2 linked regions of the Mytilus edulis genome follow. The protein of the gene in region 1 interacts with the protein of each later gene in a biochemical or structural test. Links are inferred from orthologs where the notes say so. Each region holds a gene or a part of one and is shown on either strand. Other genes may lie near its edges.

What was found. The genes of interacting proteins can lie anywhere in the genome.
Region 2: of the proteins of leucine-rich repeat serine/threonine-protein kinase 1-like (region 1) and eukaryotic translation initiation factor 4E-binding protein 1-like, one has a biochemical effect on the other in vitro, tested with the Drosophila melanogaster proteins (2 studies listed by BioGRID). The link is inferred for Mytilus edulis from reciprocal best matches to the Drosophila melanogaster genes Lrrk and Thor.

Annotation. Positions count from the first base shown.
Region 1 is NC_092352.1:2,814,049-2,817,810, forward strand, and holds the start of leucine-rich repeat serine/threonine-protein kinase 1-like, read left to right. Parts: upstream 1-928; 5' UTR 929-1,019; intron 1,020-1,157; exon of another isoform or gene 1,158-1,475; coding exon of another isoform or gene 1,476-1,517; intron 1,518-3,762. Other genes in the region: uncharacterized protein, read right to left, coding at 1,476-1,517.
Region 2 is NC_092352.1:10,082,463-10,086,224, reverse strand, and holds the start of eukaryotic translation initiation factor 4E-binding protein 1-like, read left to right. Parts: upstream 1-1,112; 5' UTR 1,113-1,257; coding exon 1,258-1,396; intron 1,397-3,227; coding exon 3,228-3,392; intron 3,393-3,762. UniProt on the Drosophila melanogaster protein: Repressor of translation initiation that regulates eIF4E1 activity by preventing its assembly into the eIF4F complex. Hypophosphorylated form competes with eIF4G1 and strongly binds to eIF4E1, leading to repress translation.

The DNA.
Region 1 (3,762 bases):
AGTTCTTCCCGTTATCTGAATTTTTTGAGTCACTATTCAAGTTTTCGTCAATTTTTTGTTCATGTTGTTATTTCCCTCAACGCTTAATAGTTCTTGATGCGGAGACTTTTTGTAAAATTTTCATTTATTGGGACAGATAAAGTGTCCCCTCGACTGCAGAGATGTTTTCTCAACTGGTATTCAGATGATTGACCACACTACTTGAGTAAAGGACTGGATTTATCATTCGTATCCTGTGACCTATGTGTAAAGCGTCACCCTCTTGTCTTCTTTTCTTTAGATGGTACATAAGGGTGGTTGTTCCTAATGTCATCCCTACGAAATGTCTTTTTGTTTTTTAAGCAGATTTTAGGATTGTACAATAATGATGTTTATTGTTATGTTATGTTTTGTTATGTTATGTTATGTTATGTTATGTTATGTTATGTTATGTTATGTTATGTTATGTTATGTTATGTTATGTTATGTTATGTTATGTTATGTTATGCCGTTATGTTTTGTTTTTGTTTGTATTTGTTTTTTTGTTTTGTTTTTGTTTTTGTTTTGTTTGTTTTTGTTTTAATGAGCTGAGTGGATTGAGCCGTAAACTTCAAAACTTGTAATTTTTAAGTGCATTCACTTATTTTGTGGGTGAATACTAAAAGTTTTGTTACGTTTTCTTACCGTTTTTATCTTCTGCATCTTTATGTAACTTGATTAATAAATTTTGAATAAGAATGAATGAGGGGAAAATATTATTGCACCTTCTGATGTAATCAATTGAAGAAATGGTTTGAATCGGAAATGCTGTTTTTGTACGTTCTGAGTCTTTTGACTACAACAAAGAAATGTTCTAACGGTGAACATTCTTACCAAATCATTACAACTGGACATAAATTATATTATTTACTCGGAATACGTCGCGTTTCTTCCAGTCTTTATTCATAAACAGAAAGCAGTCACAAGATTTGTACAAAACACAAACAAAAATAGATTTCTGCAATCAAATGGTTTGAATGAAAGGTTTGAATAAGATGAAGGTAACACAGAACTCTCATGACATTAAACATAAATCATACAGGGAAATAATACCTTTGAAAATTTGAAAAATCCAGGTTTTTTTTCGATTTTTTGGGTGACAATTTTACAACTGTCAACTGAAAAACAGAACCAAAATAAAAGGTTTCAATCTTTTATTAACTAGATTTGAATGTTAGTTATTTATACAGATATGAAAAGAAATGAATTGTCATTTGCATGTGCTTTGGTATTCCCTTCTCCCTTTTGAATACATCTAAAAATGGTTAATTGAAATCTGTGCCAGTTGACCCTAGAATCTGTGTTGCTTAATATTTTTATGTCAAGCAACAATCACTTTTCCATTTTGGCATCAGATATTTTGTATTATGACATCACATTTTTACCAGAATCTTTGCGAAGTCCAGTAGTAGCGTACAAATGGTGTTGATCATGGTGATAAGGTGTTTTATGAATTTTCAATGTGTTTCAATTTTTCTCTGCATTAGGTATGACAGTATCTGAAATAAAAAAAATTGTAATGTACAGACAAATTAACATAAGTTATACAACAGCAACTAAATCTAAACAATCTATTGGCACTCATGCCTGATCTTCCAAGTTCTTATTTATAGGCAATGTCTGCGCGTACCCGCATGGGGGTACAAATAGTCAATGCCATTCGTATAGGCTACGCGTACCCACATCAGGTTTTCTAATAAAAGGCTTTCAAATCAGGAATGATTCAGGAATAATCGGGAATGATACGTGAAATATAAACGGAAATTATCGATAATGTGGGGATTTCGTGTAGAACGAGTGAATAGTATGAAAAATAATATTTTTAAATTGTATTTATTAGATAATAATACATAATAACCATATTGCAAATTAAATGCACACTGATGGAAAATGAAACTTCACAGTCCCTGTAAATGAAAAACATGCACAAAAATGTCAGTATTCACTTCAAAGTCTTACAAAACCTTTAAACAGACTTATTAAGAAGGGATATAGTTTTGATACTGTTGACAGGTCATTTAAGATTGCATATTTTGGCTTTAATATTGATTTACTTATAGGGTCTTTGCATCGGAACTAAACACATTTATTTTTTTTAAACAGTTGTTGGCATGACACAGGTTATGTTCTTATCATATATTTTATGATAGTATGATACTAAACCCCAAATGGAGGGATTGTGTCTGATATTCATATGATGAAGACATAATCTTTCAATCAGTTTAATTGAGGTCTGGAGCTGGCATGTCAGTTAATTGCTAGTAGTCTGTTGTTATTTATGTATTATTGTCATTTTATTTATTTTCTTTTGTTATACTTATATCTTCTGACATCGGACTCGGACTTCTCTTGAACTGAATTTTAATGTGTGTATTGTTATGCATTTACTTTTGTACATTAGCTAGAGGTATAGGGGGAGGGTTGAGATCTCATAAACATGTTTAACCCCGCCGCAATTTTGCGCCTGTCCCAAGTCAGGAGCCTCTGGCATGTTTGGCCTTTGTTAGTCTTGTATGACTTTTAATTTTAGTTTCTTGTGTATAATTCAGAGTTTAGTATGGCGTCCATTGTCACTGTACTAGTATACATATTTCTTAAGGAGCCAGCTGAAGGACGCCTACGGGTGCGAGAGTTTCTCGCTACATTGAAGACCCATTGGTGGCCTTCGGCTGTTGTCTGCTCTATGGTTGGGTTGTTGTCGCTTTGACACATTCCCCATTTCCTTTCTCAATTTTATGATAAAAATTAGTACTATTATTAAATGTAAATGCATATTTAAAGAATTAGATTTTACTGAATTTGAAAACCACCCATATGAGATTTAAAAATAATCTTTTAGTGAAATGTAAAACAGAAACTGAAATTATAAAACATCTTAAACTACTTAAAGCTTGGATGTCTATATAAAACTGAATTAAAGAAGCAGGTAATAATGTCATAATAAACCAATTTTATAAGATTTATGTAACTAGTTTAAAAGATTTTGAAATTTTTTTATATATCCAATAGGTTAAATGTTTTGGCACATTTTTCAACCCTGCACATTTCAAATGTTACCAGTCCAAACAACATCGAACTCGAAAGTTGTCTATTGACTCCAAGTTTCTTTTATACAATTGTATAAAATTGATTGACTGATAGTTACAATTATTCATGATAACTTTGAAATGTATACCTATATATAAATATTTATAAATTAAAACTTCTGAGTGGTTTTAGTCAATTTATTCACTAACTGCAACAAATTTCGTTTATATTTGATCATATTTCACGTTTCATTCCCCATGTTCCCAATCCGATGCCATTTTATTGTAAAACCGGATGTGGGTACGCGTAGCCTACGAATGGTAATTTGACTAATGTGCAACACTTGTATATATAGGTATAGGAAGATGTGGTATGAGTGCCAATGAGACAACTCTCCATCCAAAAAACAATTTATGAAACAATTATAGGTGAAGGTACGGCCTTCAACACGGAGCCTTGACTCACACCGAACAACAAGCTACATGCAACAATATACATGTATATATACATCTTCTGTAGTACAAACATGAAAAAAATTGAGGTATGATTAAAATGTTACATTATTCAAACTACAAAAATGTAAATAAACATGCTCAACAGTGCATAAAATGTATATTTTTATTTTTATTCATACAGTATGAAAAAGATTCAAGATATAAATGATTACCATGGCTACGAACAACATGAATTACAAATATTATATCTAAAATCCACTGT
Region 2 (3,762 bases), about 7.3 Mb from region 1:
AACCAACTGTACAAAAGTGTATGTGTTGCTGCTAACTTGATGTACTGTCTTACTCTTTTAATGACAGTTTAGTTTGAACAAAATAAAAAACTGGGCATTAATACAGCGCCATTACAGAAAAACAGGGCCATTTGTAACAGAAAAAAACAGGGTCATTACAGAAAAACAGGGCCATTACAGAAAAAAAACAGGGCCATTACAGAACATATGTAATTTTTAATAAACAGTCACTTTTGGAAATAATGCACTTAGTTGGTTAATAAAAAGGTATATTAATTTATAGCAGAGACATATGTATTATATGTCTCTGATTATATAACTCGAATAATTCAAGCCCTTTCCGTGTCCGATTTTCTCCCACACGAAGGCTTGAACTCTTTGTGATCATTGGCCGCGTCGCCTGCTCTCTGTGAGAGAGAGCCAATCAGCGGCGATCAGGATATGAGTCGGCGCAACTCTCTTGAAATTGTCTTACCAAACACGTGTGTTCAATTAACACAAATCCGATAATAATTAATTAACATCAATTAACATCAGTTTACATCATTTATCATCAATTAACATCCGGAACTCCTCCTTCTTTAGCTGCCAATTTAAATCAAAATTCCCATATTGCAAAGGGGTGTGAATTTTCCGGTTGACGGTCTTGATCGAGGAAGACGTTCAGGCGTTAATGTAGCCTTCGTAGATCAGCGGAATATAACGACTGAATTATTCGGGTTACTGATTATAGGAAATTTTTTTCTGAGAGACTAGTGCCTGTGTCTTTCAAGGACAATAACTGTCATAACTTCTACCAAGGAATGGTATATTTTTAAAATATACAATGAATTCCATGCTTCTGATAGGGATCAATAAAACAACAATGTAATCATTGAAATACTTTGTGTACTAATGTTCTTTGTTTTAATTTCGTGTAAGTAATTGGGACTAATAGTGTTTAGACATGTGCTTTTATTTTTATGAGAGACATATAAGATCATATAATGTAATACAATACAATTTTTTTTTTCTATTTCAAGTATTAATAAACTATTTTAAATTCAACCGCCTCACGAACTATACAACGTAAACAAGGAAGATGACCACTTCGTTTACCTCCGTAGGTTCGTCGGAAATTACGAGGTCAACTTGCCATGTGACTTGTTTGTGTTTTGGTCGGAGGTTAACGCGAGTACAACATTCTACAGACAGACAGAAGTGAAGGAGACAAGGCTTGGACGTATTTTTAAACACTTTTCGTTAATTAATCTTAATATGTCAAAATCTGGGTCTCCTCAACAACATGTTAAAGGACAGAGTATTCCCAGACGAGTAGTGTTAAACGATTTATCACAGCTCCCAAATGATTACAGTACGACACCAGGCGGTTCGTTATTTTCTACAACTCCAGGAGGTGAGCGCATGTCTTCTTTTATAGTTTTATTTATTTCCAGTTTAAGATATTATTTGCAAATGCATGTCTGGAATAGTGATATAAGTTGTGATACAGTATGCAGATTTTGTTGTTTGTAAACAAGCATGTTTATTTCAAAATGGCGACTTACTAATGTTTTTGCAGCCATGTGACCCATATTATGTCATTCATGATTTAGGTCACAGCAACTCTGCCTCATAAACAGCCCAACGTAAAGTTTTGTAATGTTTATTTAGTTAACATTTGAATATGATTATCCTTAGAGTACAAACACACAGTGGCAACAAGTTGTGTATACTAAAAAGATAATATAAAATGTCAACAACAATATTTTATACATCAAGGATTTGTATAGACTATAGTATATTTTTTATATACATTTACATCTATACATGTTTTTAATGTAAAATTTAAGAGTTTTGCCTTTTCAGAATAATTGTGCTGTGAAGAGATCTTTTTATTAATAACCAAACTGGGGCTTGACATGTCATGTACATGTAGGATTTGTGTATATAGAATAGATTAAATATGTTAAATTTAGTACATACATGTAATAACAGTAACAGTTATTTGAGTAAACATACTATCTGAAACATGTACTTTGTTTTGTCACAAAATTAAATAGTAATGATGCAACAATTTCAACCCCTCAAACTTGCTTATTGAACTCTGTTCAACTATAAATAGATTGACCTAGTAATTTAATATATATATAGGTCAATCATTGTATTGTGGGTACATAATGATGCATCAATTTGGTCATAAGTCTTTTAGGGGTAAATTGTAAATAAATGTGTATGTATTAAACTGAATATTTATCTGTTCATGCTATTGAGTAATTACATGTACATGATGCTACATGTACCTTATGTAATTGTACAGTAGATATGTTATCATTTCTTTAAATAACAAATTGCAACACTTGTCCTCATTGATTAATTAAAACAGGAGTCATTGACCTGATCTGCTTACTTATATATATTTATGTATTAATACATGGATTTAAACCAGAGCAAGGTGTTTTTTTTTCTCTCTCTAGTTCTGATATGACAATTATTTGATAGTCTAAAAGTGAAGTAGTGGACCGATGAGTAAACATGAATAAAAACTTTTTAATATTATTCAGGTTCACCCTTGAGTATGAAATTTGGTATAGTGTTAACATCTGTTATTTCTCATGAGTCATTTTACTATTATATCATTCATTGATTTGAACAATGGAAAATAAATAAAGCAGAAATAAACATTACTTAAAGAAATTTTGTTGTACATGTATTTTCCCAGGCATGTTTTCAATTTTCAATTTTCTGATTTTAAATAACAAATTGACAGAGTATGCAATGTTGTTGTTTATGAACAAATGTACACGATTATACATATACTGTACATGTCATTGACCTGACTTGTGGGAAACATGTAATTATGTACATGTATCCTTGCGGTGAACACCTCCTTACTGGCCAAGGCTTACGGTACTTCACTATCTCTTTAGTAGTAGGGACAGGTTAATAGATAACTTTTGTCAGACCAAAAATTTGTAAGAAATCTCTATTTTATTTTCTTTTATTTCTTCACTGTTTATTTACATAATAATAAACACACTGGTTTTTGTTTGTACATGTATAAGCAATGCTGAAAAATGACAATGATCATGACCAGTGATTGCCTTGGTAAGTGCATTTGTTGGTACAAGTCAACATGGTCAAGGAGAGTAAATTTTTTAAAAATTTTTTTTGGTTAAAACTTAGAGTTTTCATAATGTGTGTACTATGAATTTTATTAAGTTGAGATCGTCCTATTTCATTTTTAGGAACAAAGATTTTTTATGAGAGGAATTTCTTGATGCAGTGTAGGAACTCCCCACTAACTAGAAGTCCTCCACCAAATATGGCAAAGATTCCAGGGGTTACCTGTCCTGGGGAGGTTGATGTCCCTAAAGAAAATGGCACAGAAAATATCCCAGCTCAGAAAAATAGTAAGTACATTCTAAATAAAAGATGAAATGAAAAATAATTGTGTCGAACTGTTATTATAAGTAAGAGATTAGAATACTTGTAAAAATTTAACAGGTCCATGTAATTTTAACACTTCCGCTCAATTTATTATAAAAAGACTGTGATGAATCTACATTAAGTTAAGGAACAGAATTTGCTAAATTTAAATATATATAATAGAAATTAGGAGATGTGATATGATTTCCAATGAGACAAATATACAGTGTATAAAAGACCACTTGACAAAAGATGGAACATTAATTACAGGTCACCAAAATGAGCAACAACCCATGTCGTATTGATATATATATTTACTATATATAATAGTAAATACTGATAGTCCTCAGGGGT